Lytechinus pictus: one gene and its partner. The protein of the gene in region 1 interacts with the protein of each later gene in a pairwise test. Links are inferred from orthologs where the notes say so. Each region holds a gene or a part of one and is shown in the gene's direction. Other genes may lie near its edges.

Region 1 (3,760 bases):
TTGATGTTATTATACATTGTTACAATTTTTTCACATAGAAAAGCTTTCCTTGCCTTCACCAGTGTACATGGAGAATTCAGTACTTATTAGAGATTGAAATATCTGCCATTTTGTATTCCAACCTATGTGTTTGTATTCCAACCTATGTGTTTGATATAGATCTACAATGTATCTCCCTTCATAATGTATGGAACTACTTGTAGATCATATGACATGAAATGTACATTCAAATAAATCACCACTTAATGCAACTGAATCTTATAATGAGAGCATTATTTGAACTGCCTAGTGCTGTATTAACAAAAGCAGAAACCATTAACTAAACACTTTCAAGTCTTGTCTTTATAGTTAAAGGGGAAGTTCACCCTGATAAAAAGTTTAATTGTATTATAGCAGAAAAAATAATACACATTATTGAATGTTTGAGGATATTCCTCAAATCCTTATTTGAATATTTTTAAGATTTATTTGCAAGGTCATATGCAAGCAGCCTCCCTATATATAATGTCGTAAAAAATCAATGAAATTTCATTTTCTAAAAAAAATTAAAACTGTGTTTTGTGCCTTCAGTATATCAACAAATTATTTCACATCCGCTCCTCATCATGAACTATTAAAAATAACATATGGGGCAGCTGCTCGTATATGATGTCACAAATTAAAAACTTGAAACTCCAATAACTTTCTTAATCATTGACGTATTTTCTTCATTATATAAAAATTATTTTTCTGATATTTTTACAATAAAGTTTCCTTATGTTAAACATCCCCTTTCATGTATGATTCTTGCACATTGTTATAAAACCCACTAGCTTTTTAATTTCATATTTAAAAATGAAATTCTAACAATAGGAATATTTATAATTATTAAATTTTTGATTAAAATTAATGCATAATAATGATAATAACGGTATATTTACCCAGGGTAGCCACTTCAGTTCCGAAAACTGTTCTCCCAGCGGGCCCTGCTATTATTATTACCCGGCTAAGCTAGGCTACCTATCAGGTGCACACAGCTTTTTGAGGAATTACTTCCTGCCGGTAACCATTTACCTCACCTGGGTCGAGTGCAGCACACTGGATGAATTCCTTGCTGAAGGAAATTACGCCATGGCTGGGATTTGAACCCACGACCCTGTTTCAAAGTCCGGAGACTAATCCATTGGGCCACGACTCTCCACATTATAGATGCATTACATGTATAGATGATCATTGGTGGCTAGTTCATGGTTGTATTAAAAGATATGAGGATGACGTATTTCAAAATGATGTAAGCATGGATACTCAACTATGCGTACTTGGGTTGATGTACATGCTATGTAGATGCATTCTACCTTGTGCACAAATTACTAAAGATTTACCTGCAAGGATACTGCATTTAAACAGGGACAACGCAGGGTATCAAAATTGAATGTAGCTGAAATCATTCCATATTTTTGATTTTCACTTGGCAAGACAGCTTTATATCAGGGAAATTCCATAAAATATGTACATCCGACCCCCTATATGTAGGACGACCTTCATGAAATTTTCTGTCTATGATTTCTTGTTCTTCTGACAGTCTGTAATGACTTGGTCACTTTATGAAGTAAAGTAAGACTTGAGAAAAATGGGGGTCTGACATACAAAAAAAGATTGATCATTTTATAGAATTGCCCATCAGCTACATGTACATGTAGAATCAGAAACTAACATTATGACTTCAAATCAAAGATCCACAACATGACTAAATTTGAAGAACTCTTTGTTACTTTGTACTTTTCACCTTCGTATTACTACATGTATGTGTGTTTTGGAACTTTGGATGCATGATTTTCTGTGAAAGTGCATTTTAAAATAAAGGACAATTATATAATAGCATTGGCTCCGGGAAAGGGTACCATGTTGTACATGTACTGTACATCTCAATCTACTGTATTTAACGGAACATTTCAACTATAGTATGATTTGTGTTTTTATTGTGTAGTGTTATTGGCATAACAGGTGAATGGTAGATTGTGACCAGGCTAAAGTGCTTGAAAAGGAAATAATTCCAGTAGAATGTAGATCAGGACCCTTTCATGAGAGGCCGTCTGATTGGATGTCCTTATGCATAATGTAATATCATCCAAGTGCCAGCTCAATTCAGGAGAAAAAAAAGAAGATTTTCCCCTTAAAGCAGTACAGCTATTTGGCACATCAATTCATTTCTCAATTAACTGTTTAAACAATCAAACAAGATATGGTTGATTACCTGTATAATCTAAATGTGAGAAAAACCCTTTTACAAATGTAAAAATGAGAAAAGAGTCCATGAAAATTTTATTTTCTTTTTCTTTTTTTGTTGTTGTAATTTTTAATGTTTATTCCTTACTGATATTTGAAATGCTTCTATGTACCTTTCTCTCTCCTTTCCTAAACACAATTAATGAAAATTCAATAGTGTTTTTAGCTTGGTTGCATGTATATTGTGAAAGGTCCTGTGAGCAAAGATGTCAAAAAGGAACATTAATTTTATATCATATTATTGGCCTAATGTCTGAATTTGTTGCTATGGTAACTACATGTAGCTTGTTGTACCATACACAAAGAAATGTAATCGTTCAATCAATATTATCTTTGAATCTAATGTTTGAAACAGGAACCGCGCAGTGTATTTTGAATTATAAACATTGTGCCTACACATTCAAACTCACTTTAAATCTTCGGAAGGGCAACCTGTGGTTGTAACGTTCTGTGCTGTGTATGTGTATCAACATTGCTTTGTTTTGCACACAATGATTCAGACCAGGAATTACATGCCAAGACGAAAACAGGAAATTATGTCATTATTTTCAAACATTTTGTCATTATTTCTCCGTCTCTGTTTTCCTCTCTGCCACCCTCTACTGTAGGTCCGCCAAAAATGAGCTCACAGTGGTCGGATCCACAGAGTTATACCGATAGTCCGCCCGCACCACCCGTTCGAGTTTCCAGCAGCAACAGTCGCGAAGCCCGCTTCGACGTCATGAATCCCGGCTCCAAGCCCCTCCCCAACACACCCCCTGAAGAACAGAAGAAAGGAACGAAATGGATGAAAAATATACTTAAAGGAGGAAAGAGTGAAGAGAAAGGTAGGGTCAATTTGGGGAAAATTAATGTTTTTGTGGGGGGGGGGTATTTTCCAGGCTTCCATTCATACGCTAAAATTTATTTTGTATTTAATAACATCAGGTCATATATATTCAAGTCTGTTTTATTTTGAATCCAACAGCAAATTACTGCAGGTGTTTTTTGCAGCTTACAAAGGTTTTTCCATCTGTTATTTTTAGGTGCAAATATGTGGGGGCAGGGGATTTACATTTTATCAATTACCACTGAGAGTGAACTGTTCTTGGAGCCTGTGCTTTCTATCTTTTTGTACACAACTTGTAATTGATTTGAAAATATGTTGAGCATGGTTGAAATTATTCAAGAGAAGTGAGGTGGAAGAAAAGTGTGCCAAAACGTGATACACTGAAGCATTATGAATTTTCTTGTATTTTTTTTGGTAAAGTATCTTTTTCAGTGGGGATGTTGTGGGGGCAGCATTACTTGTAGGTACTTTTTGCAAAAGTAGTCCTTGTGTGAGGCAGGAGGAATATAGCCTTTAGGATTTTCAAACTAATAGTGAAAAATGAAATTTTATGCTGTAAGGGACAGCAATTTCCTCAATGATGTTGTAAATCATCCAGAAAAAAAATCGCGAGAAATGTGAGAGTTATTTAGGAGAATAAGGGGATAGGTGTTTTGCAAACTATTT
Region 2 (3,760 bases), about 3.3 Mb from region 1:
TCAGTACATTACATTTCCATAATTCTTCTAGTTTTTATATTTTTATTCTCTATGAATGTTTTGTACTGATCAATACATACATGTACATATAGTGATCAATGCATATATCATACATGTGTAAATGTATGTTTGTGTGTGTATTGTGATCAATACACTCTGAGCACACATTGTGTAGCTTCGACTCATTTTAACATTCTATTGGTGTAATCCAAATATGATTAATCCAGTCCACGATCGATTCGAAGATGGTGATGGAATGAATAATAGATGATTTATGAATTATTTTATACTTTGAAATGCCAAGAACAAAAGAGATACAGTGTTGAATTTATTAATTGATTATGGGTTGAAAAGTGTGAACCCATTTTGGTTCAATCAAAATGTGTTGCAGTCCATATGAAAGTAAAATGAAGGATTGGCGTTCATACATGTACAAGAGAGAAAAGGGAGAGAAAGAGAGAGCGGGGGGCGATGGGAATGGGGTTTTGTGTAAAAACAGGAGAAAAGAAAAAAAAATTCATTAAGAGGTATGGCAGAAGGGGCAAACACAATGGAGAAGAATTTGCAGAATTAGTGAACTATGAATGTACAATGTAATGAATTCATTGATTACTACAAAAATAGACTGGTACTTGGAACAACAATTTGGTTATTACATGTAGAAAAAATTACTACATTACAGTTCCTGAAAACCAGGATCCATTTTTTTTCCTTTTCCTCCCTTCCCAAAAATTTGGTTATCTGAAAAAAAGGAAAACAGCTTGTAGATTACATGTACATGTAAACTGCACACGTGACCTTATCAATTTTTTTTCAGTGCATACATGTATTTGAATGCTCTTTATAAAAGCATGTCCATGTATCCCCTGTCCCGAAAGCTCAATATCGACATCATGTACTAGAATTCGATAATGATTATTTTTGTTTTCAATCAGATATCGTGGTTTCTGTTGCTATGAACATATTGGTACTTGATTTTTTTTATGATAAAAGCTCAACCAAGAAACTATTACATGCACATGTAAGTCCTACATGTACATGAATATTTCAAATAAGAATAAATAAGTCAATCCTTATTCAAAACAATCATGTGTCCCGGATATCTTGCAATAAGTGCAGTAAAAAATGTGTAATCATAGTCCAAAGACCGATTTCATGGGATCTTTGATAATGCAAAGCCGAAAGGATATATACAATGTATACAAGGCAAATAATTTGAAGAGATCGTAGATGGTATTAATGTGTTTCTCTATCTTTATTACAGAGATGACGGATGAGGAGGCTGTGTTGGTAGTCGCTAAATGGGACTACGACTCCAAGCAAGAAGAAGAGCTCAGCATCAAACGGAACGAGAAACTCAAGCTGATCGACGATTCCCGATCATGGTGGAGGGTGGAGAAACAGAATGGCAAATGTGGCTATGTCCCTTCGAACTATGTGAAGCGAGACAAACTCGGCCTCGTGGAGAGAATCCGGAAGGGGATCTCTGCAAAGCGTACTGTACAGAAACCGGCATCGCGTCCGATCTCCCCGCCCCACAGCGAAAGCCCACATCCACACCCGGCCCAAACCGGAGGCGAAATGCCATTCTCACAACTCGCAAGGGTCATGTACCACTATAAAGCCGCACAAGGCGACGAACTCAACCTGGTCAAAGGTGAGCAAGTGAACGTTCTGGAGAAGTCCGGGGACGGATGGTGGCGAGGAGAGTGCAATGGACAGAGTGGGTGGTTCCCCTCAAATTATGTGAGCGAGGAGGACACCAATATGCCAAATAGTCACGGTTCCAGCACGAGTTCAAAAGGTGACGACAACTCCATCCCAGATGACTTTGTGTTGGGTGTTACAACTCTGTATGCCTTCAAGGCAAGGACTGAAGAAGAATTAAATTTTGAAAACGGCGAGTCGCTGGACATTATATCGAATCCCTCCGACGATCAGGACTGGTGGAGAGCACGCAACAAGAAAGGTAATACAGGACTAGTTCCGAGCAACTATGTGAAGGTTGTAGAGAATGCGGACCCTGTGTGCCCAACAAATTTTTTTATTGAGGATGCTGTTCCGAAACCCATTGATTTGCCGCAGCACGACAACAACTTTGCTCCGCCCTCTGATAGATTTTACGATAGGGATTGGTTCCATGGAAGAATTACCAGAGGGGATTCAGAGAAGATTCTGAGCTGTCCTGGAGAAAGTGGATTATTCCTCATACGAGAGAGTGAAACAATGGTAAGAACAGGCTACCCTAAAGAAGTGGTTATTTTAATGTCTAAACTGGGTGCGCTCCAAGTTCACTTGGGCACCATACCTTGATAAATACATGCTAGGGCCATTTAATCTCAATGGACTTTGGTATTTATCATGTTATATATTTCTTCAGAAGTTTTAAAGTTGATGTACATGTTTGAGATATATAAGATACATCAACCCTTAATGTCTTTTTGGTTCAGTGCAAAATTTTTAGGACTTTGGTTTGGTTTAGCAATGTAATCTCAAGATTCTATATTATCTCTCAATACAATGTCTCAAGGGATAATCTGCACATTATTAAAGCAAAATTTCAACCTTAGCACTGCCTTAAATCTAATTATCAACAAACAATCATGAAATCAATAAAACTTTTAATTATGAATATAAAACATTCTAAATATTGGTTTAATCATCAGTATCATAGTATGATGTAGGAAGTAGTTGAGAAGGTTGAAATCAAATGATTCCTTGGAAAAACGAAATAAGAACAATTATTATCTTTTATTCATTTTCGCAGCCTGGTGACTTTGCTGTGTCTGTGAAGGCTCCAGATCGAGTGAAGCATTTCAAAGTGACGCGGTCAGATAAGAAGTTCTGTATCGGACAGCGGAAGTTTGAGTCATTAGATGACCTCGTAGACCACTACAAACGCTCACCCATATTCAGCTCAGACGATGGCGAACTCAAGCTGTATTTAACACGGCCGAATCAGAGAAATTAATGTCAAGGGTGATTTCTAATGGACGCTGAAAATACCCCAGCATGAACAGAAGAAAAACTGCCTGGGTGTGCATTAATATCTTTTATTCGCCTGTGAGGGATTACATTTCTTTATTGAGTGAGGAAAGAAAGAGAGAGAGAGAGAGAGGGAGAAAGAGAGTGTGAGAGTACAGTAAAGAATGAATAAACTCTGAGAATGAACTGCATAGGTCCCAACTTGGAGCCTTGTGGGACTCACCGTGCTATGTTGATATACATGTACCAAAGTGAGATTCCAATGTACATGCACATGTGTTTTCAAAGAAACCACATGAAGAATGCTTGAGATGTACATGTAGCTCTTGGACTGTTAGTTATTGACCAGCAAGAGCCTCCTCATTTAGGACATTGTGCTATATGAATCATGATAGGATGAGCTTCATACACAGGCTTTGTGATAGCTGCAAGACTCAACAGACTAGTGAATGAAGTGCTGTTGGGGATCATCGAGCATTAAGAAAAAAAGCATTAATGTCAGTTTTATTTCAGACCTTCAAAGAAACTTATGGAAACCTTTTGTCTACTTTCCAAGTGTTGCTTTTGTCCAAGATCTTCCCCCTAATATTGTTAACTTTCTGGTTTGAATTTAACAAAGTACTTGTACGTAATTGTGTAATCCTACTGAGTAGAAGTGTCCTTTTCTCCTGTTAGTACACTTCACCTTTTCTCAAAGCCATAGAGGTTTTCGTTGTAATGCACCAACATGTACGAACTGGTTTAGTTGGAAAGAGAATGGCCCAAGTGATAACAA

Evidence for each region.
Region 2: the proteins of serine/threonine-protein kinase PAK 3-like (region 1) and cytoplasmic protein NCK2-like interact in a two-hybrid assay, tested with the Caenorhabditis elegans proteins (2 studies listed by BioGRID). The link is inferred for Lytechinus pictus from reciprocal best matches to the Caenorhabditis elegans genes pak-1 and nck-1.

The regions. Positions count from the first base shown.
Region 1 is NC_087260.1:19,732,872-19,736,631, reverse strand, and holds the start of serine/threonine-protein kinase PAK 3-like, read left to right. Parts: upstream 1-907; 5' UTR 908-2,884; coding exon 2,885-3,092; intron 3,093-3,760. UniProt on the Caenorhabditis elegans protein: Required for hypodermal cell fusion, together with cdc-42 and ced-10, leading to embryonic body elongation, which involves dramatic cytoskeletal reorganization.
Region 2 is NC_087260.1:16,432,202-16,435,961, forward strand, and holds the start of cytoplasmic protein NCK2-like, read left to right. Parts: upstream 1-1,232; 5' UTR 1,233-1,239; coding exon 1,240-2,229; intron 2,230-2,767; coding exon 2,768-2,971; 3' UTR 2,972-3,760.